4 linked regions of the Styela clava genome follow. The main gene of each other region encodes a partner of the protein of the gene in region 4 in a complex. Links are inferred from orthologs where the notes say so. Each region holds a gene or a part of one and is shown on either strand. Other genes may lie near its edges.

What was found.
Region 1: the proteins of NEDD8-activating enzyme E1 catalytic subunit-like (region 4) and NEDD8-activating enzyme E1 regulatory subunit-like are in contact, whole or in part, in a crystal structure (PDB 3DBR), measured with the Homo sapiens proteins. The link is inferred for Styela clava from reciprocal best matches to the Homo sapiens genes UBA3 and NAE1. Residues at the interface, in NP_003959.3 of Homo sapiens: Trp34, Glu35, Gly36, Arg37, Trp38, Asn39, His40, Lys43, Phe44, Glu46, Arg47, Ser48, Gly49, Pro50, Phe51, Thr52, Phe56, Glu83, Lys86, Asn87, Leu90, Ser91, Val106, Ser107, Leu109, Asn110, Arg111, Phe113, Leu114, Arg116; in NP_003896.1 of Homo sapiens: Glu10, Gln11, Lys12, Tyr13, Asp14, Arg15, Gln16, Leu17, Arg18, Leu19, Trp20, Asp22, Glu44, Lys47, Asn48, Leu51, Pro52, Gly67, Glu68, Ala70, Gly71, Asn72, Asn73, Phe74, Phe75, Gln77, Arg78, Ile81, Phe92, Glu95.
Region 2: the proteins of NEDD8-activating enzyme E1 catalytic subunit-like (region 4) and NEDD8-conjugating enzyme UBE2F-like are in contact, whole or in part, in a crystal structure (PDB 3FN1), measured with the Homo sapiens proteins. The link is inferred for Styela clava from reciprocal best matches to the Homo sapiens genes UBA3 and UBE2F. Residues at the interface, in NP_003959.3 of Homo sapiens: Ala401, Thr403, Thr405, Leu406, Glu407, Gly408, Asn410, Arg411, Thr412, Ser417, Val418, Thr419, Ser420, Ile421, Arg424, Thr425, Gln442, Glu443, Ala445, Ala447, Asp448, Val449, Thr451, Pro452, Gln453, Thr454, Leu456; in NP_001265234.1 of Homo sapiens: Thr27, Arg28, Arg29, Val30, Asp34, Lys35, Val38, Lys39, Val41, Ala42, Glu45, Val54, His55, Phe56, Pro57, Asp58, Pro59, Asn60, Leu62.
Region 3: the proteins of NEDD8-activating enzyme E1 catalytic subunit-like (region 4) and NEDD8-conjugating enzyme Ubc12-like are in contact, whole or in part, in a crystal structure (PDB 2NVU), measured with the Homo sapiens proteins. The link is inferred for Styela clava from reciprocal best matches to the Homo sapiens genes UBA3 and UBE2M. Residues at the interface, in NP_003959.3 of Homo sapiens: His53, Pro54, Asp55, Glu61, Ser62, Phe65, Cys70, Gln149, Asn152, Asp153, Thr154, Arg157, Gln158, Phe159, His160, Ile170, Arg173, Trp174, Ser181, Leu182, Leu183, Asn184, Pro192, Ile195, Val196, Pro197, Leu214, Met217, Arg254, Met255; in NP_003960.1 of Homo sapiens: Lys3, Leu4, Phe5, Ser6, Leu7, Lys8, Gln9, Gln10, Lys11, Lys12, Glu15, Lys21, Gly22, Ser23, Ser24, Lys25, Lys26, Ala27, Gln31, Leu32, Gln35, Lys36, Ile38, Asn39, Glu40, Phe51, Ser52, Asp53, Pro54, Asp55.

What each region holds. Positions count from the first base shown.
Region 1 is NC_135263.1:19,899,063-19,906,887, reverse strand, and holds the start of NEDD8-activating enzyme E1 regulatory subunit-like, read right to left. Parts: upstream 3,004-7,825; 5' UTR 2,887-3,003; coding exon 2,748-2,886; intron 1-2,747. Other genes in the region: rab proteins geranylgeranyltransferase component A 2-like, read left to right, coding at 5,258-5,309, 6,204-6,344, 6,524-6,644. UniProt on the Homo sapiens protein: Regulatory subunit of the dimeric UBA3-NAE1 E1 enzyme. E1 activates NEDD8 by first adenylating its C-terminal glycine residue with ATP, thereafter linking this residue to the side chain of the catalytic cysteine, yielding a NEDD8-UBA3 thioester and free AMP.
Region 2 is NC_135254.1:1,510,818-1,517,633, reverse strand, and holds NEDD8-conjugating enzyme UBE2F-like, read right to left. Parts: upstream 2,784-6,816; 5' UTR 2,302-2,783; coding exon 1,732-2,301; 3' UTR 501-1,731; downstream 1-500. Other genes in the region: uncharacterized protein LOC120343828, read right to left, coding at 1-459; DNA polymerase epsilon catalytic subunit A-like, read right to left, coding at 4,466-6,816. UniProt on the Homo sapiens protein: Accepts the ubiquitin-like protein NEDD8 from the UBA3-NAE1 E1 complex and catalyzes its covalent attachment to other proteins. Together with the E3 ubiquitin ligase RNF7/RBX2, specifically neddylates cullin-5 (CUL5).
Region 3 is NC_135261.1:7,731,791-7,738,675, forward strand, and holds NEDD8-conjugating enzyme Ubc12-like, read right to left. Parts: upstream 3,024-6,885; 5' UTR 2,659-3,023; coding exon 2,110-2,658; 3' UTR 538-2,109; downstream 1-537. Other genes in the region: fanconi-associated nuclease 1-like, read right to left, coding at 387-537.
Region 4 is NC_135257.1:11,905,321-11,912,151, reverse strand, and holds NEDD8-activating enzyme E1 catalytic subunit-like, read right to left. Parts: upstream 3,021-6,831; 5' UTR 2,928-3,020; coding exon 2,458-2,927; intron 2,065-2,457; coding exon 1,887-2,064; intron 1,371-1,886; coding exon 894-1,370; intron 669-893; coding exon 444-668; 3' UTR 381-443; downstream 1-380. Other genes in the region: integrin alpha-D-like, read right to left, coding at 4,478-4,608, 4,957-5,074, 5,516-5,627, 5,899-6,041, 6,213-6,288, 6,467-6,638. UniProt on the Homo sapiens protein: Catalytic subunit of the dimeric UBA3-NAE1 E1 enzyme. E1 activates NEDD8 by first adenylating its C-terminal glycine residue with ATP, thereafter linking this residue to the side chain of the catalytic cysteine, yielding a NEDD8-UBA3 thioester and free AMP.

The sequences.
Region 1 (7,825 bases), on a different chromosome or scaffold from region 4:
TTCCGGTATTCGCAGCCGTTTTTCTCTCTCTTGTTAGGCAGATGGGGAGGGCATAATGCGTCATTTACAAACCTATTATCAACTTATCTAAGATGGCCAATGTACATATTAACCGTAAATAAGGAATAGAATTGTGTCGAGACCGATGGACGCCAACACACCTGGTTTCAACTTCTTCGGGTGAAATGAGTGAAGAATGTAAGAGATCAACTTATAAAACATGGTCTATTTGTAAATGTCGTGATAATTAATGTCGCGCTTATCAAACAGCAAGAGACGGAAGAGAAATTGCGTAATGAACCAACGCAACTTAGTCCTTTCGGCATCGGTAAAGCGATTGAGACGGCAGAGAAACAACATTACGACGGGATTTCCCGTGTTTATTCTGCGCGAAATCCATTTTCTATTACAAAATCTTGATGTTCTGTTACCGGTTTTATCGTTATATATCTGTCCGGACTTGGCATTGCTCAATATGTTTTTCACAATGCCTCGCAAATCGCAATATGTCGGCCAAATATGATTACCTGTCTTTACCAAATGCGGCAACTTATTTTGATTTATCGTCGACCTGAATACCACCGGCACTCGACCAAACTTGTGTCAATCTTGGCAAATAGGATTGTCGACTTGAGTTAGAAAAATAAATTAATATTTTCATGAGTGCAAAATAAATGTCACAAAATGCATTGTTTTGCGATATAACTTTGTATTTTCGGAGAAGGCATGTCATATAAGTACGGTATTTTAAATAATGCGCAAATAATTAATATTTGATCTAAATTTATCGTAAATAATGTTATAACATTTAGGCCGCGAAATGATTTAATGTAAAATGAAGCATGGAATTCGGAATATCGTCAATAAGTCGGCATCAATAATTATTATAAAATGCTAACTAAGTAGTAAAGTCGGATATTGTAAAAAACGGTGAAATAACAAGTCTTCGTCGCGAGGCAAGCGAAAGTATAATCAAACGAGAGAATACGCTTGTAGTTGATTAATAAATTAGCAACCCGGAATTTTTATTCAATACGAAAGTCGTATTAATACGTCAATACGATTTTAAAAAAGTGAACTATCGTTTCTTAAACATATTACCAGTGTTGGTAATGATAAAATTGATCGCATAAAATTTGGTGATAAAGTTGATAAAGGAAAATCAAAGCTAATACAAAAGATAAAAATCAGAATAAAATTATTTTGAATTCACTCCTTGATATTTGTCTTTAACATCTGTCTCCGGCGTGTGGTACTGCCGGGAATATGAAAACCAAACTTCGATGTCCCATTCGGAATAGAAGTGGATTAAATTGGTTGGTATGCTAGGTTTAAATGTGTGAAAAAAATATCGCAATTACGGGGTCATTACGTAATCGATTTGGCCGTAATTACGGAATTGATTTTTGTCAATTACGTGCAAGCCTATTTCACACATTTCGGTAAGTTTGCACGCAGGCTCAGGCGTTTGGCGTGCCCCAGTCACTAATTGCACACCCCATTCCTCATGAAAAAGGCCATGAAACCCAGACTGACAATAGTTGTCGATTTGAAAAAAAATTAAAAGATAGTTTTTGGTTTTGTTGCATTTAAACATTAAGGAACCAACTAAATTCGAGTCTCATGTAGTTTCGTACCTAACATACTTCCAGTGGGCGTAGCATGACAATTTTTTCACATATCAATCCTAACCCCCACCTGACTACACCATCCAAAAATTACGTCATTACGACGTCACAGTGACGTAATAGAGCCCTTCAAACTACACGAACTGCCATCCAAGACGCGCAAACGAGCACCCGAAATCGAACAGTTATTTCTCTCGTTTTCTCGTCGCATCGATTTCAATAGTAGAGAGATCGATAACGTCAGTCAGTTCCTTATCGTCGGCGCCAATGCCATTTCGGTCGATCGTGCGTATATTTGGCAAGCTCTATAACGTGATTGTGATGTCGTAGTGTTTTAATTTTTGGATGGCGTAGTCAGATGGGGGTTAGGATTGACATATCAAAAAATTGTTATGCTACGCCCACTAGAAGTACGTTAGGTACGAAACTACACGAGACATCTAAATTCTACAACACTGTAAAATGGGTCTTACTACTTACTGAATACGGTACAGCGCGAAACACCGCAAAGAGCGCAAAACAGCGCGAAACAGCGCAAAAGCGCGCGAAACAGCGCAAAAGCGCGCGAAACAGCGCAAAATAGCACGAAACAGCGCAAAAGAGAGGAAAACAGCGCGAAACAGAAGGAAACCAGCGCAAAACAGAGGGAAACAGCGCAAAACAGGAGACGCAGTCATTACCACCTTCTGCCACGAAAGAACCACGGCGCCTCTCGCCATGGTTTTATGGCGCTATTTCCGGCATATTTACAAGGTTATGTACCGGATTATAGGTCATCATGCGAAATTTTATCTACTTTTTTGGTGCTCCACAAGTATGTGCAGCAATATGTCGCACAGCCTGAATATATACGTTGGTTTGTGTTTTTAATTTGCTGCCGTGGTACTCCAACTCAAAACAAGGTGCCCCGAACTCATTGCAAAATTTTTTTCTGCTTCACACTGTTTCCCTCTGTTTTGCGCTCTTTCGCGCTGTTTCCACACTGTTTTGCGCTGTTTCCCTCTGTTTTGCGCTGTTTTGCGCTCTTTGTGGTGTTTCGCGCTGTATTCAGTACCAGTAGTAAGACCGCTGTAAAATTCCGTAAATTCGTAATTTAAGTTCAAGGTTGAATAGTCAAACCTGGTAAAACCATGTTTTTCAGTATTTCAGTTCCAGTGGCTGTAACATTGATGAGGCAGACCTTAGCGTTTTCTAATGATCTCTGACCATGGTCACCCCACAATCGTAACTGACGATCATACTTCTGCTGCTTATCCATCGCTAGTGCATTTGGATCCAGACTTCAGAAAACCAGTTCGAATATTTTTACACACAACATGCATCTGTAAACAAGATGACAACATATGGGGAATTCCCTTGTATAAAGTTCAAAGGTTATAAATAGATAGATACCGGTAGTTTATTTTTAAAACTTCACAATCTGACAATACAAACAATTCAAAAACTATAATACGTACGATATGTTCCCGTTTAATATATGTTGAGTCAGCTGAACTATACAACTAATAATTACTTCGTAGTTACTACGGTATTGATGTTTCCCCGATTTTCCTGTTAACTTCCGTAACAATTTCCAATCCAACTAGACTAGAATTAGCTACCAGAACCTATAAGAGGCACGTCGTTGATTGTTTCAATGAAGAAAAAATGATGATTTTAGACATGTGAACAAGTTTGTAAGCGCCAACTCTCCAAAGCACTATCATAATAACGATAAGGATCCAAGTTGTGTTCTCTCATATGTACATGTTCATGTTCATATGTACTATATAGCTTTGGAAATATGGTATTTTAAATTTTTCACCCATTCATAATAACTGCCTCATTCTCACTATTTGATTTTTGTCGAACATAAAGTAAAATTAAATTTGAGGAAATTATAATTAGGCTTACGCCCTTCTTAATTTTTCACTTCTTTTCGCATTTTATTTACTATTAAAAAAAGTATAACCTGCATAATCATGCGATGTTCTTTTTTCTTGTAATTTTCAATCTTTGATTGATACCACCCTATTTGCAAATTAAAACAGCATTTCAGCGGATCATAATATGATGCAATATCATGCAAATCTCAGTGTATGCTATCAGATTTATAAAATGGATAGGAATTCACAATCTTATATATGGATTCTTCATATGTCTTTGTGAAAATTATTGAAGATACTATTATATATAGTCTGAAGTAATAATTATATGTACTATATAGCTTGGGAAGTATGGTATTTTTAATTTTTCACCTATTCATAGAAATTGCCTCATTCTCACGATTTGATTCGTGTCCAACATAAAGTATAAATAATTGTAATTAGCCCGACGCCCTTCTTATTCTTTCTCGCATTTTCAATTACTATTAAAAACATAATCTGCGTAAGCATGTGATGTTCTTGTTCCTTGTAATTTTTATTCCTATTCCAATACTTTCGGGGAATTGATTTCTGGGGCCTCTCAACCGGGCTTAAAACTCAAAAATTTATATTTCTTCTATTGTAATTATAATGCCTGCTTTAGAGTGTCCTGTCTTGGTAGAATCTTACCTTAGGGGTCGGTCGACCTTGTTGACCTTGGAAGTCTTGCCCGTCCCCTTCCGTATACATTTTTATGCTTATTGTTATTTGCTCATGCTTATTGTATTATGTACTTGTATCGGAAATAAATCATTATCTATCTATCTCTAAGTCTCCCCAAGTATCTCTCTCTCCTTCTCTAAGTCTCTCTCTCTCCCCAAGTTTGGGTGGTAACTGACTTTGACGACCGCCAAAGGTCGTATCGTTGCTTCCCAGTCATATACCGAAAACATCTGTTTATTTGAATAAACTCTCTCTCTCTCTCTCTAGTCTAGAATACTGTATGTTACAAATCAACTCCTAGGCATAGGAGACAGATACGTATACATATATTGTATACGCTGCGTAAAATATTCAAGCTTCAACTATCCACCCAGTTTTCTGCTGAAGTGCTCATTCTGCTGCCTGTGTATGTCAATGGCAAAAATACTGATTATCTGGGTACAACCGTAAATATATACTACTACCGTAGTAGTATATATTTACGGTACAACATCTCCGAAAAAAGTTACGTCATCCTTTACTTTTTGCTGATTGGCCATTGTTACAGAAAAAATAAACAAGAAAATCGATGCTCGGGGAAACATACATATTAAATATTTCTCTCTCCCTAGCCAAATATTCAATTTGGGCATACAGGCATAGCGCATAGCGGGATTGCTGCATTTTGTTTAAGTTGTTGTAGCAGTACGGTGTTGGTATTCAGGTGTTAGTACCGGTATTTATTGACGGTTCAGGTACGAAACGACTGCAATACGGCAGTCGCAATTTCAGTGACGCCAGCCCACTTTCAGACTTTTGATGTAGGCTAGCTGCCTGTACATTTGATTGTCTGATTGTGGGGATTGGTTTTGTTATTGAAGAATATGTTATGTTATTACTGTGTTAGTCCCTCACCTAAATTCCAGAATTCATTACGTTTTTTTTTCTAAATCAAACTCCATAAATATATGGATGGTTAACCCTCCGTCTCCCATGTAGAATTGCTGAATTGTGGGGTTCAAGTTATCCTAATATAGGTAACTTTATGCCATTTTGTTTACCAACCTTTCTTTTGGGTAAAACATGATGAATGAAGAGCTTGCCAATGATTTCGACATTATTGTTGTTGGGACAGGTGAGTACAAGAAATTTAATGAAAATACACATTGAGATCTATCAGTCGTCAACGTTAGATGTGATTTGCATGAAGTTTTCAATTGACTCCCGATGTCGGGATGTTGAAACAGTTTAGATTTTCAAAACCACAACGTTTCATTCTCAATTCTCCCTGGTCAACAAAATATTTTTATCGTAGTGCAGTAGTGCTTCTAAATAAAATATTCACTTATTCTGTATTCAATTAGGACAAGGTCAAATCCTTTCTGCATTTCTGCCACACACTTTTAGGCTAGTATCGTCCAATGCAATGCAAATGGTCTTCAGCATTGTTAACATTGCAATCTTGTCTATACAGCTATATATACCTTTGCAGGACGAGTAGGCAGACACACACTTTAGTGTCATTGGGCCTTATTCCAACGAAGTTGCCTATAACTCCAAACGAATGCCATACACCAATTCATTTATATGTCCCCTTTTTGCTTTATATTATAATTTTTGGTAAGGTAAACCATAATCCCGTTATCATATATATAGGCGTATATATTGCCTATATATAGTTTGGAAGTGCAACTAACTGCGTGTTATAACAGATGAATTAATATCAAGTTTGTCTTATACTGAAATCCTTCAAAATATTCTATTTAACTTGAGAACGTTTCTCCAGTTTGTGATACCATTACTGCTTTAACATGACTGCATGATGAGTTGATCAACTGGAATGTAAATAGTTCAGCAACATTAAGTTCCTTTGTTGTATGTACAATTTTACTTTTTATCCCTCAATTATGTTAAGCAAGTTTTGCCAGCCCTATTACAGTAATATTGTTATCTGAATCGCCATTGCAGAAGGTTCAATTGTTCTTATCGGCCATCACGACATGGTAAATTTACGCTTTTATTACCTCAGGTCTTTCAGAATCGATATTATCAGGAGCACTGTCGCGTATTGGGAAGAAAGTTCTTCATCTGGATCAAAATAAATACTATGGAAGTAATTGGTCTTCATTTAATCTACGAGCATTTGAAGCTTGGATTGAAGAAAGAGATGGTGAGTATAATTTACTATTTGAAAGATAGCAAACTACTTTGTGTGATGAAATGGATGAGGCTGATATAAATTTTGTTCCACATTTAATTAAGTCTCATCCGGTCATCCGGTCGAAACTTGTAAAATATTGTGCATGTAAAATAGAAACTCTTTTTCAACTTTATCTTGTTATCAAACAGATGATGCCAGAGTCTCAGTGAATGAGATTTCACAGGAAATAAACAATGAAACTGAAGAATTAGTAATTGTAGGAAATATTCGTAAAACCACTCAACAAGGAGTAGTGAAATGTTATCTACCGTAAGTTTATTCACCATAAGTTAGTCACCATTTACTCATCATGCCATCATTTATTCTTGTTATCAAGCATCTTCAAGTCAATTTTCATTCATTTCCTGCTAGACAACTGAGTGAGAGTTGAAGGTTTTGATGTGACTCTATAAATGATCATAAAATCGATGATCCATGAATGCAAAATCATGATAATGATGGGATAGTCATTGAAGACATGGGAATATACTTTGAAACTGGGTATTTACTAATAGGGGTCATAAAATAGATGACACAAAATATTGGCTTAATAATATGCTTGGAGTGTTTTCTTCGATCAGTATCAGTTAAAACTGGAGCTCGACCGATATATCGGGCCGATATTGCGTGTTTGCCGATATATCATATCGGCCGTATACCGCCGATATATATCGGTCATACTCGGCAAGCGCCGGGCTGCGTGCTGCAACAGCTCTCGCCCCTGCGTATATTTCTCTCGCTTTCATTTTGCGTTATAAGGGTGTCTCTCCTAATTCCCGGTGTCTTATGATTAGCCATTTCATGCATGGTCATAACTGAAAAGTTATATCTGGAGTAACAATGACATTTTATAAAGTGACATTTTTGAGAGAGTACACAATGAGAAAAAGGCAAATTTAGTAACAGCATTAAACGGTGGTTCTATAATAGAATCGATTGGAAGCTGGTGAGTTAGTAATCATAGAAACATGAAACAGGTAGCTCAAAGCAATAATGTCAGTTCGGAATTTGTGACCTCCCAAAATTCCAATTTTGAATTTATGGGGTAACAGTTTTGTCTATATTGATGGTTGTTTATCATTTTGCTGAAAATTACAAAATAAAAACTTAATCCATTATTATTGACTAAATAAGGTATTGAGAGTCTCTGGAAACAAAGTTATTAAAAATTTCACATGTAACTGCACATATGCTATCACAATATCGAAGGATCATTATCACGATTCACTTTAAAATATATCAATTTATATTTTTTCAATACCCCTAACATATGTCCATACTATAGACTCACAAGGTGCATTATAAAAGCGTGGCTCAAAATATGATTAATATTAATATCGGCATTGCGATATCGGTTATCGGCCATTTGGCCGATATATCGGTATTAGCGTCAAAAAGTGATATCGGTCGAGCTCTAGTTAAAACTCGTTAAAAACTGTTATTAATAATGT
Region 2 (6,816 bases), on a different chromosome or scaffold from region 4:
AAATTTGTGAATAATTTTTAAATCCTCTGCAGAGTTACGTTGTAGTTGATATTCCACACGAGGGTGATTACCGATGCGGATCCCACTGCCTTTCGGTATTTCAACATTCTTTTTCTTGTCAACAGCGGGACTAGTTGCCTCGTCATCGTACGTGAAACGTTTAATTTTCTTTCGCTCTCTTTTTGCCTCTAGAATTTCAACAGGCCGCTCTAAAAGCCCGGGAGGAAGGGACTCATCAGAATCACTGTCACTTTGTTCATCATCGCCCACAATTGCGTCTGATTTTTCCGCATTTATTGAAGAATCCACAATTGTCGATTCATCTGCGACGCTCTGCTCTGTTTCTGATTGGTCAACTTTTTGTGTAAGCTCTGCCTTGGGTTCTGTTTCTACCTCTTGAGCCTCTGGCTCCACCTTTTCTTCATGCTCCACTGCCTTTCGTGGTTCTGTCTCGGACATGCTTGGTTGAATTATTTTTAAAAACTAAAGCTAAAAACAAATCTAGAATTTAAGAGAAAAACAGGATCAGTTATAAAATCTAGCAAAGAATAATTCAGAACTGATATTTTATAAATTATGATAATGCAACAAAAAAATTGAAAGTAACAGTACTTTAGTAGGGTTCCATATGCTCGCTCTGAGCAAGGCCCTGAACACGTAGTAAAGAGCGTTATCTGACAAAAAATATTCTGTATGATATCTTAGAAATTACCATAAAGAGAGCAAACTAACCATAAGGCAACAGTAATTAAATGATATGTTTTGGATTTTAACTCCATTAAGAATATAGCAAGTGGATATGTCAATTATACAGATGGACTAGATCAGTGGTTGGCAACCCTTTTTAGGTGACGGACTGGTAAAGCTCAAACAAAATTTGGAATCTACCAATCAAATTAGCACTATAAATACCACTGGAATGATAAAGGGGGCCATGAATGCTAAAAGTCTCCGGAAGGGGGCCACAAGCCATAAAAGGTTGGGAACTAGTGTTATGTAGAACTATAGTGGTGTATTATGACTAGGGCTGGGCATTTCGAATTGAATATTCGAATCGAATAGTAAATTATTCGAATCGGTTCAGAGCTAAATTTCGAACCGCCGCCATCTTGTTTTTATCTTTCCGCTAATGGTCGAGGTGAATTCCCCAATTTTTTTTCATTGAAGTCATATTTTTTCAACGAAATTCTAACATATGACTATTTTCTGTAGTGAGTTATTGATAAAACGTGTTTGTTATTCTGTGTGAACGCTCAGTAATCTATCTGGGTGATTTATTCTATGTCTTCATTAATTCATTTGTTGAGAGGACCAATTACTATAATAAAGTCGCTTACAATTTTATATTTTCAAGTATTCTAGATTCGATTCGAAATAAATTATTCGATTCGATTCTGAAATCACAAGGTATTCGAAAATGCCCAGTCCTAATTATGACCCAGTAAATTGCAAATTACACAAAACCTAAATTAGTTGGGTACCGCATATCTTCGCATATAAGCCAGAGTATGGCTTGTATGAGCATAAGCCTGGATATTTTCATTAAAACAAAAACGATATTTGAAGGTAGCAATATTCAAATATTAAATTTGACATCCCTAGCATACGGTGGGTTACGATTCGTAAGGTCGACTAATACGTAAATTTGTATAAATTCACCGTTATAAGGCCATTTTTAAGACGCCGGGCTTACATGCGAGAACATCTTATACACTAGAATATACGGTATGTCTATTTCTCGTGGTACGCATATCTTTGTATATAATACTGAACTTTTCTAGTAAAGCCTTTTTTATCTCTATGGTAATGGTCTGCTGCGTCAACATTCAATGGGTCATCAAAGTCACATAAGTCCGTAAATAGGGAGCAAAGTCCCCATATTACCTCCTTTAGGGTGCGCGTCGGTACCCAACCAGTCCCATCCAACGAATGGTCCCTTAATAGACTTAAACATACGTCCCCGTTCTCGGTAATATTAGGATGCCAAATTCTTGTCATACATTTTACATTCGGTGGCGCTATGTTATAATTTTCGGGCACTTCAACTTTGAATTCATATGTCCCGTGCTCCCACATTCCTTCATCTGGGGAAATTTCAACATAAAATTTATGCAAACAGTCCGCTTCTGGAAAAGTCACTTTACATGTCGCTGAAGTGATATTTTTTTCTAATTCTTGAACCTCCCCGATCAGTAATCGATCGCGGATTGAAACTCGGCCATGCTGTGGCTTCGGGGAGGATTCTTTCTTCTTGGCGTCTCCTTTTCCAGACTCTTTTATTTTCTTTGACAGTGTTAGCATTATGTATGAAAGAGTCGCTTCTTCAGGTAATCCAGTTAGGTAGATCCACAATAATATAAATGTCCAATTATAAATTCAACACCTTTTTCTTATTCCGGTTCTCCAAATACAGATCCAAAAATTCCAGTCAGAAAACGATTCACAAAAACGGTGCCTCTTGTTTTATAAAACCAAAATTTCCGAGTTCTCTCAAACAAGCTAAACTAATTGTAAAAGTCCAAGATTTTTCTAAAGGACTCTTCAAATGTTTCAGCGAAAAATAGGACTCGCATAGGCAAACCTCTTCGTTTTACCAAATTATTATCTTTCAGTTTGATGTTTTTACACCAGTCTTGGTACAGACAATAAAATCTAATTTTTATGATATCCACAGAAAACTGAACGAAAATATAAAATCCACGATTGTCCAGTGTTTCTCAATTTAAAACCGAACTATCCAGTTTGTTATTTCCATATGAATCCCGTTTTCAGTAGCAAATATAGATTACCTGTTATTAAATCTGTGAAAAGGAACAATATGGTCATAATTTATGAAAAATACAGAACATTCAGCACAAGTATGATTCAAGGAATTATAATAACGAATATGGAATATATAGGGTGTCCATGAAGTCTTTAAAAAATTCGAATTGCAAGGGAATTTATCGATACCATATATTGTTTTGACCCTCACAGATGTATTAAATGAAGTAAATGTACTTGAACAATTACTGATTAAAAAACAACAAACCTGGTTAAGATGTATTGAGAACTGACTTCATAATAAAATAGAAATTGTAAAGGGACTTCATGGACAATATATGGTATGGATCAATTTTTTTTTTCAATTTTAAAACATTTTAGGACTTCATGAACACCCTATAAAGTAAATTGGTGTAAAAATATTGTCATTTTATAAATGATTTCAAATAGTTTAATTTGGAAACTTAGAGCAAACTTTCTTAACGTGTGGTCACGGGAATTTTTGAAATGGGCCTGTGGACCTCCAGTGAGTTACAAATTGAAAAAACAGAGGTGATTTACACTTGAGGTCAACCAAGGTTTGGGAGTTCAGCTTGACAAGCTGATGAATAGACATAAGTATTAGTTTGGTTATGGGAACTTTCACTGTGTTGTTAATATTAATAAAAAGACATTCTTATTATACTAGAAATTTTTCTTAAAGGTGTTACAAGATTAAGGTAATTTGTGATGCTTCTTTTCCCAAAGGTTTTAGAAGTTTGAAGTATTTTTTTACGCTGAAAATAGGCCACAAGGGAATACAATTAGAGAACCACTGGTTTAGATAATTGTCATTTTTCATACTAACTAATTGCCACAATCTTTGTGAAAATAACAAAAATTTTCAGCGTCAGTGAAAATGTAAAAAGCCAAAATACAGGAACAATATGAACTGTAATTCAAATATTCAACACAAGAATAATAAAGGGCTCAGTCTTGCTCCCACTGGTGGTCAAAATCTCTATTCAAATCATGTTTCAAAAAATAAAATTAAAAAAGGGCAGTGTTTCAGTCATATCAAAGTTAAAGAGTGATAGCCGCCTAGCCTATTCATAGTAATACATGCAAATCCAGTGAAAAGCAAATGAAAATAACCAGTGTTATGTATTTGACATTTTTATCTTGACTCCTCAATAACTAAGCCATTGCACAGACAATTTGCTGCCTTCAAATTTTTAATGTATTTATAAAGTCGGACAAGCACCGAAATTCCAGTTTGCTACGTAACTAGAGCGATAGACTATGTGAGCTATCCCAGAAAAAACACAAAAATTTTAGCAAAATGGCAGTATTATTACATAAAAAAGGCAGTGTTTGTGTCATATTAAAGTTACAATAGAGAGTGGTGGCCATAATAGTCAACTACACAATTCCGCAAATAATAGCCAACCTCTTCACAGGCTGCATTGAAGCAAACCTTTTTACTCACGCAAAACTGACGTATTAAACGATGTTAATATCAAGAGCGTAGTATAATTAACATTACACATGAATAATAACAAAAAGATTCCCAGACCTATTATACACTCCTTAGCACATTTTCCAACTAGAGAGGAATCCCTCCAATGCCAAAAGAAGAGTTAGTGTGCCTAGTTGAGGAGGAATGAAGAGTTGAAAAAAAGTTAGAAACCCGCGCCCTTAGCATGTACTTGTCACTTAATGTTCACATGTACTCAGAAAACCATTTTACAGTTTCTAGTAATAAAGGCATTCCTGCGTGCTCAGCAATATTCTGAAATATTTTGATTGTATTTGTGAACTTTGACACCGGTATCGTTACTTCAAAATCTCCGGCACATTCGCAATATCTCGATAAATTTCCTTGTTTAATTCCGTTGCATTTTTTGCACGATAGATCCTGCAAAACATGACTTGCTGCTTGGCTTTGTAAACTTTCAATAAGTCGATTTTCGATCCATGAAATATCGTACGCTGTTCCGCAAGACTCGCACATCCACACAATTTTTTCCTGGCCATCTAGTGTCTGGTATTCACGACATAAATCTAAATCACGACAGTGGTTGCACGTAACACAAACGACTTCACCCAAAACAAACGAAGCACATGGATCGTTCCATTCTGCAGACGACGAAAATTCTCCGACTCCGATAAGTTTTAATAAATTCCGTTTCAGATGTTGAACTTGCGTCGTTACGTGAGAATCGAGCGACAAAACTTTGCACGCCGATTTCACGAATTCCAACGTCGGATTTGTGAGAGAAAGATGAGACCCAGGTAAAATAGGGAACATTTTGCTTCCACTCACTGGGTCCGAGCCTAATTTTTTCGCCATTTTTTGGACGATACTCAGAATTTGTTGAGTTAGTTCTCCTGTTATTAACTCCTGTGAGAATGTCACAATATGTTCCGTAATGGAAGGGTCGCTTGGAATGATTTTTGATTTCCCCCCTTTTTCTTCTTGCGACTGCGTGTCCCCCCTTCGAACTACAGGAGTCTGTCCAGGGAGGTATTTTGTTCTTTCACGTTTTGTTTCTCTATGGATCATTGAAATGTACCCCCCAATAATCATTTCAAAGCTAGTCTGAATTGCGGCAGCATGAGGGAGATATTTTACGAGACTAAAATTCATTTCAACAACATCGCCACCTTGTGTTGGATTTTCTTCCCCACTTTCATTTATCAAACTTTCGTCGAAGCGGATAGATTTATTCTGCGGCTCCGTTGATTGAGAATTATCTTTTTTACTGCTAACGCTGATCGAACTATCGTCCATTTTGTCCTCGTTTTCTTCCATTTGACCTTTAACCCCGGCAAAATTAGTGTGGTCAAGCCATAGTAAGTACTCCCAAGCTTGCACGATAGAAAGATCTATGGAATGGTATAAATCTTTAGATGTGATAGACGACGCTATGTAGCTGATATACGCCACTGCATCTGTGACAGAGCGTTTCTTTGTGCAAACAATGACTCGGCTAAAATCTGCGTACACGATTTTAGATCCCAATCGCTTAAACTCAGAGATCAACTGCAAAAAAACTTTACGCATCATGTTTTGTAGAGTTTTATGCAACGCACGGTCGAAAAGTAGAGAAGAACGACAACCCAACCATCGATAGAAATGCACAAGTTGGAAATCAGCCAGCTCGTTTCGATGTACAGACACGTCCCGAAGCCAACCTTGTACCATTGACTTCAAGATCCTGAATGTAGTTGAACACAAAACAGTATCGTCATCACTAGCAAGCGAATTCAACGCAGAATTCTGTCCACTTATCATATCTTCAAGCGATGATTGTTGAATTACGTCGAAACTCACGCCTGCACTCACGCCCCCGTCGACATCATTAACGCGATGTGATTGGATAATCGTGTTCACAGCTAAAGACGAGATTTCTAATTCGATACAAACGCTGGGATACGCTCCACTGGTGTTCACCTCAACTGTACTATTCGAATTATCCGATCCTAACTTGTTGTCGAACGCTTCCTTTCCTCCTAGATCTGGTTTTTCTGTCGCAGAACACCACAGGACATGGTTATGCTTCAGTAAATATCTTGCGAAAGTTAAATCCGCTACAAACAGGCTTGGGTCCAGTGGCAGATTACCGACGGGAACGCAAAAATATCGGCTATATTTTAGTAACTGGTCCAATAGAGGACACAGGTTTAAAAATTGTTGAACCAATCTCCGTGCTCCAACACGTTGCCATTCCAAAACTGCATATAAATTCTCGGGGTCTTTATTATGCAATGGAATTATTGGAAATTCTCTCACAGCTGGTATAAGACTCGATATTTTAGTAACAGAAAGTTGAGACTGAAATGCAATTAAAGTTGGGCCATGGTGCTCGTTTTTGTAAGTTGAAATATGCCGTTGCAGCGCTGAGTACATATTTTTAACGTCCTTTTCAATCCTGATCTCGAATGTATAATCAGTCGGGGGTAATTCCATGTCTTGTGCTGACGATAAAATTGCAGCATGTTCTGACTTGTACAACGATTGCATGTTTGGCATTGCATTTGTACGTACTGTGTCAACAACAAATATAAAAC
Region 3 (6,885 bases), on a different chromosome or scaffold from region 4:
AACTGAAAAATCGCAATTTCAAAAATATTTTGAAATATTGCATAATGTATATAGTCTCTCTTTGATTTGATAGAACTTTATGGTGCAGAAAAATTATGACTAACTAAATTATGAGTTTGTTTAATTTCAGATTCTATTAAAGCTTATTCGAATACAAGCTGCCAAATGCCCAAAATGATAATTTTAATGTAAAACTATTTTGAACTACCGTATTCCTAAAAATCATGAATTGATTATAGAAACATAAGACAAAACTTAAAACGATGGCTTAAAACTGTAGCTTGATATAAGCTAAATGTTTCGATCAGATTGGGCAAAAAAAGTGATTAGTAATTTTGCAAAATTGATATTAAAAAGAATACAGTCGTAACAAATTAGTGCTTTACTTTTCTCCGGCTTTATCCAAAAAAAAGCTCTCTTGAAGTATTTTCCATTTTGTTCTTGATTGGATTGGTCTAGTATTTTATTTATTTTCAATAAGCAATGTGAATTGAAATAAAATACAAAGAGACATGCAGTCACATATAATATGCTCATAGGTGTGGTATAGAGAGCAATTCATCAGAATATAAACAAAATTTTGAGAAGCAATTGGAATTTATTGCGTAATGGGGGAAAGGTTCCTATGCTATTATATCACGCTTCCATATAAGAATGTAATTTTGTCACAAACAGGTATTTCACCTCATTAAAAAAGCAGATAGTCAATACAACACAAAAATGCCAGAGTTTTATTATTTTATTAAGTTAGGGAATATTCTGCTCATCAGCTTTGAGGTAGCCTACATAACCACATTTGAGCACATAGCACAAAGTTAGACACCTGCTACATTTTTCAACCTCAAATATTTATCAGTGACAAAAACATGGACCCTCATCTGCAATGATTATCAGCAGCAGATAAGATATTTATCAAAGATTAAAATGATTTTGAACAAAATCATTGACTGACCAAAAATAATGAACTTGGGAAGTATTCTAGCATGGTTCAAAACAATCATACTGATTCTGATTATGCGTCTTAACATAAATAACAGAAAATAAAACCATGGCCAATACCAATATTTTGGACACTTGTCTCATCATATTGAAAAGAGGAATTTTTAAAGAACATTATTTTAATATTGCTATAAAGGATAACAAATCCCTTGTCAAAATATTTTGATTTTAATATCTGTGTAGGATATTTTGATCGAAAAACTGGCTTTATAGCATGTTTTTGCCACATGAATGAATTTTTTGAAATAATCAAAATAGAAATGTGTTTCAGATATAGACATACTAATATCAGTGATACAGTTGTTGGGTTATTTTTTATCAACCAATCATCTTCACAAATTTTAATGAACAAAAAAAAATCACCATATTAAAATTGATTTGAAAAATTAGATATGTTTGAGGACAACTTAACAGTTACTCATTGGTTAAATTTTAGTATATTTTCAATCAGTATTAATCACATCTTAAATTCTGGATTAAAATTCCGATGGTATAAAGCTGCACAGGTAGCATTTTCATACAAAACATTATTAGAAAGCTCAAGCAACAAAATTAAATTTTTAAGATTGTGACTGTAAATCAAATACCACAATGCATATTGATAGATATTTAAATGATATGGATGAAATAAGAAATTAAATGCATTTTTCGTCATTGTGTTATGTTAAATGTTAAGAATAGATTTATAAGGTGTTTCAAAAATTTCAACAGATTATTTCAGAGCATATAGATAAGTTGAATTTCGAAAATCGTTGGAAATTATGTCATTCGATAGACAGAAAGTTATTTTTAAAAGTTGACCAAATGTAGATATGAATTTGTTTTCATTGGAAAGATAAAATTTCAATCAATTCTATAATAAAACATTGTCTGAATTTTCTACACAAAAGCCCACTTAGAGTAACCAGAATTATGCAAAATAAATATAAAACGTATGGTGAAATAAAAGATGTCTTACAAAATAGCCAGTATTTTATTCGAGTCGTCAAAAGCAACCTTAGTCCATTTATTCTGTGTCAATGGTAAAACTTACCAAATAGCCTATATAAATAAACTATCATTATAAAGGCATCAAAATGATATCAAATACATATCAACATTGCAAAAAAATCATTTTAAACATCGCTCAAAATATGTGCTCCCAACGTAACCACCCCTCATTGATTTGTATACATTCTGTTCAAATGCACGTCTGTTTTTTGTTAGCATCTCCGCTGCTTCTTTGTTTAAAGGGTCATCAGGGTTGGGCTCAAGAAAAAGATATTGAAGCCCATAAATGACAGAGTTAATGGTAAGAACAGGTTTCCAATCTTCTCTGAGAATATTCAAACAAACATTTCCTTCAAGGTCAATGTTAGGATGGTAAACCATGGTTTCACATTTTACTTTTGGGGCATCATGAGGGTAACCTTGCCCAACTTTAAATGTAAAAGTGAATTTACCATTTTTGTAAAACCCCTCATCAGGGGCAATGATAAGCTTGAAATTCAGTAAATCATTGGGATCAGGGAAAATAGTACTACATGTAGGTGGTAACTGCAGTTCATTTAAATCCTTAGTAATTCGAAGTTGAGCCGCTGAAGCTTTTCTTCTACCAGATGAAGCCCCCGATGCTTCGTCATTTTTCTTTTGCTGTTTTAGTGAAAATAATTTTATCATTTTCTTCGTGTTTTTCTGTTCTGATCAAAAATTTTCAACTGCACAGTCTACACCCATACACGCTCTCAATTCTCTTCCCACAAATGTTATTGGTTCATATCTCACTGATTTTCTTCCGGCTTCAAATTATGGCCCCAAAACTGTCTGAGACAAATCTTGACCAAAGACAACACCCAGGCTAAAATGGTCAATCTCGACAAAGCGATCGTAGGGAATAAACAAAGAAGTAACTTCTCCTTTCAGATAGTGGTGTGTATATATATCGAAATGATTGAGAATGGCATATGACGTTATGACAACTTCGGGTAACTAGAAAAAACACTACCAAAAATTTATTACGAATTTAGTACGGTATTCAGTAATATAAAATATAGATATTTTAACAACAACAAACAACTTAAACTTTAGTTACACTAAACAAGACTCTATGCACCACTAGGGTTGGGATTTCGGAGCCAGTTCTTGAAATCACGGTATCGGGATATCCCGGGATTGAGCCGTATAATCCCGTGATTTTTCGGAATTAAGTAAAAAATTCAAACGACTTGCATGACAATAAAATCACGTATTTATCTCATGTAATATCGACGCAGAAATATTAGAGCATCTAGGGCAGTGCTATTTAAATAGTTGCGGCCAATGACATTAAACAACATGATAGGCAACTCTGACGTCACTCCATAAGACTACATGCGAAAGATTGTATTTCATGATACGCTCCAATGCACATATTTCTCGTCGCCTTTCGCGACCGTTTTCCGCTTGCTTTTGCTAATCGGCGTCCTCTTTACGTTTAGTACCTGCCTTTTTGCGCCTGTAACGAAAGAAAATAATCTCTATATCTAAGAAGTTTTGCTCACTTTGAAAGCTGGAATGACATACAAGCTGTAAAGAGTAATTCTGGACATCATAGACTTTTTTTTTTATCAGAGAAGATTACAAACGCGATAGAGTAAAGATTTGTGTGGGACATTTTGCAGATAATGACAAAGTTCAAAGTTAGTAATTTTAATGTTTACGCGTAAACATTGAAATTTCATTTAAAGAGGGTGTCATACAAAACAGCAAAACTGTTTTTACTTCTCCCAACGGTGCTGTGATACAATTCCATAACACAAAGTTTGCACCTATCGAACTTGCTTTAGTAGGTGAATTTATTAGACATTATTAGACAAATTTATTGTGAGGGATTTCGCATGTAATTCTCATTGATTGGTGGCTGTTTATAATTCCTATTAATTGTGAATTCTGATTATAACAAAGAATTTACTGGCACCTTTTTCTTGTCAATACTCCAAGCTGAGGTAATAAACAGGACAATACATTTATGTCATCTGGAAGCAAAATATGCACACTAATTAAAAGTTTGACACATTGAGATAATACATCATTACAGAAAATACAAGTTAAAGATATGTATTACCATCACATGGTAATTGAAATTAAAAAAAAAATTAATAGGGGCTGTGGAGTATGAAAAGTTTAAGACAAAGAAAAGAACAAAAGTTCATAGCTCATGAACTCTTAATTTTGCCTCCATTGCTTTGTGAAGGCCAATATATTTCCAGTGGCTGAATTGGTTTATCTTTATGATAGCAACGATTTCGTATTTAATACGGCAAGATTATTTTCAATTTATTTGAAGTTATAATATTTCCCAAAGAAATGCTTGAATTGTCTAGAATAGATCAGTGGTGTCAAACTCATGGGTTTTCGAGAGCCGCATTGCATGTTGGAAATTGTAAAAAGTGCCGCAAACAGTTTTTGATAATGTATACTTGAAAGATATTTTCAAGATAGTTTTAGTTTGTGACATATATTAGGATGCAACTAAACAGTTGGATTAAGTTTTATTATTTTCTTTAATTTCAAATGCAATTTCATGTTAATATTTGCATTCCACTATTATTGCAAGTTACTGTATTTATTACAAAAAATCATAAAATTCTATGTACAACCATCAAAATCATTTTTGAACAAGCTTTGGATAAGGAAAGAATAATACATACACTAAAAAAATGACTTAATCTAAATATATGGACCTAAAATTAACAAAAATACTACAATATAAACTCAATGTTTTTTAATTACATTTGTCCTGACGTTTGGCATCTTTTTTGTGTCACCAGCATACTAAAGCCAGGATGAAATAATTTTATAGTACCAACTCTAACTAACGAGGTCACATGATCATGGGTTAATCTGGATCTTTGCAAATGTTTAATTAATTCCAGTAATGCAAAAAAGTTACTTTTATCATTTCATGTATAGATCAGTAAAAAAACAAATGACAGATTTTTTCGACAAGACATTTCGCGCCACATTGCATGGCATAGGATTGCTTGAATTATTATTGATATTTAGTAACAAAAAAGTTGTATAATTATATTAATATACAAACACATGGAAATTTTCTGTTCGAAGTTGGTCTTCGAATTTGCCATATTGACTGCTGAGCTTATTGTGTTTTTCATTGTACTGGTGGAAATATGACAAATTAAACAATGTGCTTCAGAGAATTTTGTGAAATGCAGAAATATTGCAACTCCCATTTTCTTCGAAAATGCCACCTTCTTCATGTACTTTGCGTTCAATTTAATAACTCAAGTGTTTTATTCAAGTATTATTTTGCTAGCTTGATGTGTATTCTTAAATGGGTCAAAATGTGAACAAAAAAAATTAATTTTTTAAAACTACTTTTAGTAAATTGTTTTCTGTGTGAATATTCAATTTCACTTAAAAAAGTTTGAAAAAGCTGTTACATTTAGATAAAAAAAACTTCCAAAATACTTTTACAATTATTGTTAAGCTTTCGAGGCCGCACTGGAAGTTCTCTGGGGCCGCGAGTTTGGTCTAGATTGAAGTTGTCCAAAATATATACCAGTATTTTATCATGAATCATGATTATACCCTTTCCTGAATTTTTTCTATAGTACTACCAAAAATTGATGAACCAAATATAGCATAGGTGTAGTGACCCGTAATCCTCATTTTTCAAAGCTGTTTTAAGTATGCCTGGCATGTTTTGTGCTTTTTCACAAAGAAGACCGCTTATGCAATCTTACGCATTGGAATTTTTAGTTATTTTCCTCAAGCCTTGCAGGATGTAGGGGCCATACACAACTCTACCGGAGGGTCAAATGCTTTTGCATGCCTTCATAGGTTGTTCTTCTATTGCAAACATTTATGGAGTATTCTAATTATATTTCTTGGAATCACACTGTCACTGATATGTCGCCAGACTTCTGATATCTCCCCTTCTGCTACAGTTGTCCTGTGAATAAATAATAGGAAATTGAGATTAGACGAATAGTTGAAAGTTTTGCTTTATGTCGGCTTAATTTTTTGATTGATATACTTACTATTTTTGCTATTGCCTCTTGTGCTACAGGAGTCTCACAATGCTTAGACAGGTTTGTCCACAACTTTCACATCTGAAGAAAGAGAGGAGATTTATTAATTTTCGTTAAGAATAAATAAAGCAGTCAATATGACTTAGAATGGAAAAGCTAATAAATCCAATATCTCATGTTTAATGTAAAAAATGTTTTATTGAATTTGGTATATAAATCAACTAATAAAAGGGTTTAGTCAGAAAATTACAAGCATTCGTGGCTCCAAATACTTGAGAGATCATACTATACAATATAGACCGGTATGATTAAAATGTTAGGTGAACTTGTTAACCCTTTGATTCAATACGCAAATAAAAGTGAATGAGCAATAGTATGCTACAGCAATGAGTATATATTTCTACACTGATTAGAAAAATCTAAATGGAGGTGCATGAACTATTTGAAACCATAAAGGGTAAGTAAATACGCAATTTCGGCAAATGGGCAACTACGTACCGTATTGATTTGATAACTTCGTAGTATTTGACAAAAGCTGGCTTTCCCACATGTACTTAACAGTGCTATGTCCGGGTGTGATATACAACAATAGTATTTACCTTACCTTTTTCCGATTTCTTTTTACCTTCAATTTTCCAAAATATCATTAAAATCGACAACAACTGTCAAAGCAGGCACGAACACCATTTGTGCTACGCCTTGAAAGCAGCACACATCCGCTCGTTTTCGTCTCGTCAAGTATGTGCATTGGAGCGTGCTATCGAATACGATCTTCGGACAAAAATGCCGGAGTTGCGCATCATGTTGTTAAATGTCATTGGTTGCGGCACACCTATCACAAAATACGAACATTTTCTACTCATAAAAAGTGTCA
Region 4 (6,831 bases):
AAACGAAGCATGGCCAGAACTGATAGTGAAAATGTTGTGGAGCGACTCCAGAAAATAAATCAAGATGTTCATTGCATTTTTAAATTCAGTCAAGCGAAATCAGACCCAGTAAATAAATAAAGCTGTTTATTGCATCCAGTGAAGCGAAGTTGGACCATATTGCATGTAGAAGAAAAACTATACTCCTCACAATTATCTTCATTAAGACTACATAATTTATTCAGAGATTGCAGATGGAAGAAAAATGAGAATGCGAGAGATATGAGATATGTAAAATACCGGTTTCACATCATCGTTTCTAATTCACAACAAAATCGACAGTGCAAAGTTTTCAATCACAGCTTCGACTAGCAGCAGGAAAGCAAACTCAGTTCAGCAAATTAAAAGGAACTTTATAAACCAATCAAAATCTAATAATAGACCTATAATTATACTAGATAGGTTCATTTTTCGTCATACTGCATTTTAAAAATTAATGGGTTCGGTGAAGTTGCATCTGCAACTACAATTTCTTGTCCATTTTGAATGTCGAGTTCATCCAATGTCTTCTGTAAGTTTGGTTTTGTGGCAACTTCGATAGATTTGACCGTACTCATATAAAGAGTTTTATTCTTTCCACCAACACTTGTAGTGAGACCGGGAGCTCTCATTTGTAAAGCAGAATTCTCCTGTAAATCAGTATAGCAAGCAATTAGGAAGTTCTCGGAATGTTTTTTATTGACGGAAGATCTATTTAATGTCAAAGTGACAAGCACTGTATTTGGGAAGTTTACTTCACACCAAGACAAAAACATTGATCTGAACTAACCTTTTAATCCATTCTAAATTGCTATGAATAGCCATCTTATTGATAGAGTTACTAAGTATCTTATCAACTTAAACAAAAAACACACCTTCAAATAGTCAAGAACATCTTGCAGCTTGTCAGATTTTCGAAACTTTAGCTTCTGTGGCCGTAGGCTGCACACTATACAATCCTCTTTTTTCTCAGCTTCGTATGCATATGTGTATATTCCCTCGGCGTCATTAAAGATCATATAGTTATTTAATGGCATGCAGCAACTTGACGCAAGCTTCAAAACTTCTAAAGTGCATGCTGCTGCAATCACTGCATTAGTGGACGCCACAGCCGGAATAATACGCTTTATTACACCTTGAGTTAATCTGTATGTTACTCCCTCGATTCCGTAATCTTTTCCCCTTTCAACTGCTTTGTTGAAAATCCATTTGATATGGACTGGATCATCACCATCAATTTGAACATCGAGTCCAAATGGTTTTTCTTGTGGCCATAACAAGATTTTAACATACTCTATACAATGCTCAGGAAGCCGCGGAGTATGAGCAATAGTGCACATTGGGAAATTCACCTTAAAATAAATATACACCAAGTAAACCCATCATACATAGGAATATGTCTAGGATTCTATTATTAAAGCATACTTATGGATTTAGTGCGACCAAGTAACGAAGACATTCGTTTCAAGTTTTCATAAAATGATTCAAATTACTCGTACAACTTTATATGTAAAGGTATATAAATTATAATTATGGAAAAAGTCAACATTTTTGTGATTTTCTGTTTGAATTATATTCTGGAATTAAATTATAATTCAGTTTAATCAGAGAAAAGGTATTCTAATATTCACAATAAAATAATTCCGGATGAATGAATAAATTCTGCTGCTGCTTCTAAGTTTTATTTGAAATAGAAATTTACCCCAAATTGACAAAATATCACAATTTAATCAGGTTTTTCAATTGGGTTTCAGACACATATTCAAGTTCTGTCTCATACAACTACACAAAACTAAAAAAATAGAGCATTGACACACTGTTGCCAAGAGAAAATACATAAAATTTATATCCAAATATAATGGTCTTACTTGAGGAGGGTATAAGTCCAGAGTGCATTCGATGCATGGAGTCATCCCGGGAAGTATAACCCTTACATTGCCCTTGAAACCTTCTGTTCCTCCATCTACAATTGGAACCATAGTTGTTTGATCTAGCTCTCCTTGATCATTAAATTCAAGTAGACTCAGAAACATTCCATTAATCCATCTGTGAAAAATCAGATTAACATTATTGAACAACTCACAAAGCAATAATTCAAACCAAAGTTTCTTTGCTGCAAAATATATAAACTCCAAACGCACCTGTGCTTGTACTGTTATCTAAGTTACATTTTGTAATAAGGCTTCAAATCAAAACTGAAAATCAATTACACAAACTGTTACAATATATTCCCTAGCATGTGTTTCACAATATACAGAGTGGGACAAAGAAATGTTACTATTTTTTACACCCACCCTGTATATTTATTATACTACAGTAGTAAATCAGTACAATACCGACGCATTTGAGTTGATGATTTTTTAATACAAATTCAACTAACTACTTATTCGCTTGCAAAATTAGCCAAAGTGTCCTAATAATAAATTAAGAGAGTCTAACCTTCTTGCTACAATGGAGTCCAAACCACAGACTACAATATGAAACATCCGATAAAAATCAGCATCAAAATCTTCTATTCTACAGTAATGAGGAACTACTACACAACCTGGAATGCGTTTATTAATAAATTCAGCAGCTACATTAGCTTTGGGTTTCCCAACATCTTTTTCTCTGAAAAGGAACTGTCTGTTTAAGTTTGAAACATCAATCGTATCCATATCAATAACTTCAATATTCAAAAATCCACTGTATGCAAGATCCTTGAGAAGTTCACATCCAAGACCTCCAGCACCAATAACCAAAATTTTGCAATTTGCTTTCATAAAATTCAAAGTGTCTGGACAAGGATCAAAATCAGGATGACAGAATGGCCCACCACGTTCTAAAACTTTACGTAAATGAAGCCATCTTGATGGATAATCTGATATATTTGAGTCATATTCGTCCGACTGCTCCATAGGTTCTGACATCTTGTGACAACTTTTCCACAAAACTTGTTAAAAAATATCCGGGCTATTTTTTAGATTTGAGTTTCTTAAAAAACAGTATGTGAATAAATTAATTCTGTAATAACCTGATTGTTACAACAACGTAAGGGCTATATTCTTTATCAGTCAGATTTACACAGAAAAACGTCAATTCACATCACACAGAACAGTGTGAGTTGCTTTTAAAATAATTACAAACTGATGAAAAGTACATATCGGTAGACGGTAGGTATATACACTACTGCACTAGGAACAATGCTGGTTGAAAATAAGCTTTTTTCACTTGCAACACTCATCTCTAGTCGGACGAAAAAGTAAAATAGCATTAAGAATTGCTAGGATATGATTTACATATTCATCCTGAGGAAATTTCAAGTACAATTCAAAACAAGCGAAGTATCAAAACTTTTTTGAAATTTTGTCATTAGTAATATTCAGAACAGCGCTAAGCTTTTTGAGCACTTCTGTACTTGGAAGTACAGGAGTCAGGGAGTAGATTAGCCATGAGTCTAGGGATGTAAGTTTCGAATATTTTATTTTCGAATCGAATATTTCCGAATCTGATCTGATTAATAAATGATCGAGATATCATCACAAAAGATGAGCTCAATACAGCAACCGACTAACGAAGAAGCTTAGCCAACCTGGGTACGATTTCGACTCCGCCTCAGCACCTAGCGGCTGTTTCATCGGTAATTGTATTGAGAGAAGAAAAGGGCATCTGAATAAAAGTGGCTTGGCTACCTTGCTCATAATTACTTACACTGGTACCGGTACCAGATATTAGTTAATTAATAAAATACTCACATAAAACATGAATGTTGAATGCCAAAAAGTCTCTGCGAGACTGCATCTTTGCCAAACAGCCAACTGATCTATTCCATCCGCGATTCATTATACCCTATACGGCAGATATTTTTTAACTCCGCAACGAGTTCAAAACAAACTTTGTATTGAAGGGGATATTTTTCAGGCGAATATATGCATTAAGATCGATTGATGACAAAATCGAAGTAAAATTTTGGTTACAGTCGCCACGTTTTTATTTTCATAAATAATATTTTGTGAAATGTCCTGTCCGAATTCCTACTTTCAGAGAGAAAGGATAACGACGCTTAATATGCAATGATACCGATCAGCCTTCAGAATCCGCCGAAAAATCGGATGCGTCTTCATTTCGATAGCCGATGAAAGAATTCGTACACACACCAGTCACACCATTTCACACTCACACAAACATAAAAACAAGCATGAAATCCTGAAATGTGAGTTTATTTATACAGTTTTTATTTTCAAAAAGTGTGGACCGATGGCACGATTGTAATTTGATTTTATGAACATATGGGCAGCACGGTTCATTTTATTAGTTTAATTAGAATCTAGACACAATCTAAGTTACATTTATACAGAAAACCAATGAGTATACGAAACAAAAAACCGCTCAAACTGATTCCCTCAAAACTACAAAACGAATTACGCCAATGAAAATGGAAGTTTTCAAACAATTTATAGTTTAAATTTGTTGTAATAATTTATTTCAACTTGTTTGTTTTCATTCTTAGCCACTCTGTCATGGGTTCGTTATAGGTCAAGTAACTCACCCCATTTTTCTTGCTATAAGCGATTGAAAAACCGGTCTGATTGTACAAATCCGCAGCTCCACCTAACGTAAAAATAAACTAATATGGTCTCATTTCGCAAGTCTTGGAATTATGATCAGCTCAATATCCCTCTCGTGACCACCACATGAATAGGTAGGTGAGTGTAGTATTAGTAGTGCTGATGCCATTCTGGGTCACATGAGCTAAATTTTTCCACCGCATAGTTTACCCGTAAATATATACTACTACGGTTTACCATGCTCCAATTACAGCGGGGAGTGCGCTACGGAAATATTTGGATTTTGACAAATCCCATTTGATGTTTAACTAATATATATATAAAGTATTGTATAAAAAGTATTGACGATATATGATAAGAAAAATCATATCATGTTTTTGTATCACGTTACCTTCGGGATTGACCGCTCTTATTTCTGTTCCCAACTCATCTACAATACTATCCAAATCTTCAAAGTTAGTCAGCAGTTCTACTCTTTCGTTGTTGCCTTCAGCCCCGTTGGCAATGATCTGAAATATTTGTTTATATTGGATAGGAAGGGAAAGGATTTACATATTCATCCCGGTGAGGTGAGGCAATCCGATAAGAGCTTCATCATATGGCGAACCACGGCCACGGTTCGGTTACCAGTTTGTTGTTGTTTTCAAATGCATAGACTTGATGGCGGAGAAACCCGTAACCGACCAGCGGTTACGTAACCGGCGGCGAGGAGTCCAGCAATCCTCTTGCACACAATTTGCCCTGCATGGGATTCAAGCTTGCAAACCCACGCAGGAATGACTCAGCACAATGGACAACACCGCCGACATGCTATCTCGGTGCTTTATTAAATTAAAATAAAATTAGTAGAAATAAGTTTTACGTTGTTTACAAGTGTTCATATCACAAATAAATATGTGCTATAGAAAACTGATTATCATAAAAACAATAATTATATACTTTATTTTTACCTGCAATTCGGTTGGTTGCGCATCTCCAACCCCCACACTAAAAATTATCACTCCCATATCACGCAGCGCAGCGGCGGCTTCTGGAATAAATTCTTGATCTGCCGCATTAGCTCTGAAAAGCGAGATTTATGTTGAAGTTTCCATTTGAAGGTGGGGTAAAATATGAAGATAATTGTAATTTTATACTAAATACAAGTTTCTATACTGTGGCGCGTGGGACATTTATTGTAGGCTAACTTGCGAGTAATTTCTGGGGAACGGAAATCGAAAAAATCAACATAGGAAAGGAGGCGTGTCAAAGGAGGTGTTCCAAATGTTTGTAGCAATTTGATTTTGATTAATGTAATATGTAAATATTTTATCTTGTGTTTAATATATCTTACTTTCCATCAGTGAGTAGAATCATTACTTGTTTATTGTTATGACTGCCGTAATTTTTGGTTCCATTGAAATCAAACATCACTTTTCTCAATGCATAACCTGTAGGTGTTGTAAATTGGTAATATGAAATATTGCCAACTGCTGCCTGAAACAGTACATTGAAAATATTATCAATTTTGTGATCTGCAGATGTGGTACCTATCGTAAACATATGTTATTTTCTTTCAACGCAATTTATCTGATCAAATTTTCTTAATAAATTTATATTTTAGTAGAAAATTTCTCTGAAACTGAATCAGTTAAAATTGAATCATACCTCGAAGGAAGTCTGATTAGTTTCCTGTCCTATTTCGATTTCCGTCTTTATGTATGTTTGATCGTTTATTGGTTGTCTGAAACAGCGCAAAATAATACTATTTTAATTTATATGGTATGAATAACAAACGTTCAAGTTTAATCAGAAAACAACTGTTGTTATTTATCGATTACTTTTCATTTTTTGTCAAATTTTTTATTAATGGTTATTTAGTATATACATATATATAGTTTCGCTGATTACAAATTACAAACCCCGGGTTGTAGGAAGAATACTGAACAACGCCAACACTGGTATGACCGCTTTCTAAATCGAGTTTTTTTGTGACATTCTTCACCCAGGCAATTACGATTTGAAAATTGGCTTCCTCTACACTCCTTGATCCATCTATCACGAACAACACGTCAACGTGCCCGGCTGGACAACCTGAAATGTCAGGTTGTCATACATTGCGAAAAAAATATGCAAACAAATTTAGTTAAGGAATTTTTAAAACATGCTTAGCGGATTTTAAAGTTTAGATATCAATTCTGATCGAAAAAATACAGGGTTTTCCAATTTTTAGGATGTTTTCTAGTTTTTATTTTGGAATTTTTCACCGATTTAATTTACACCATTC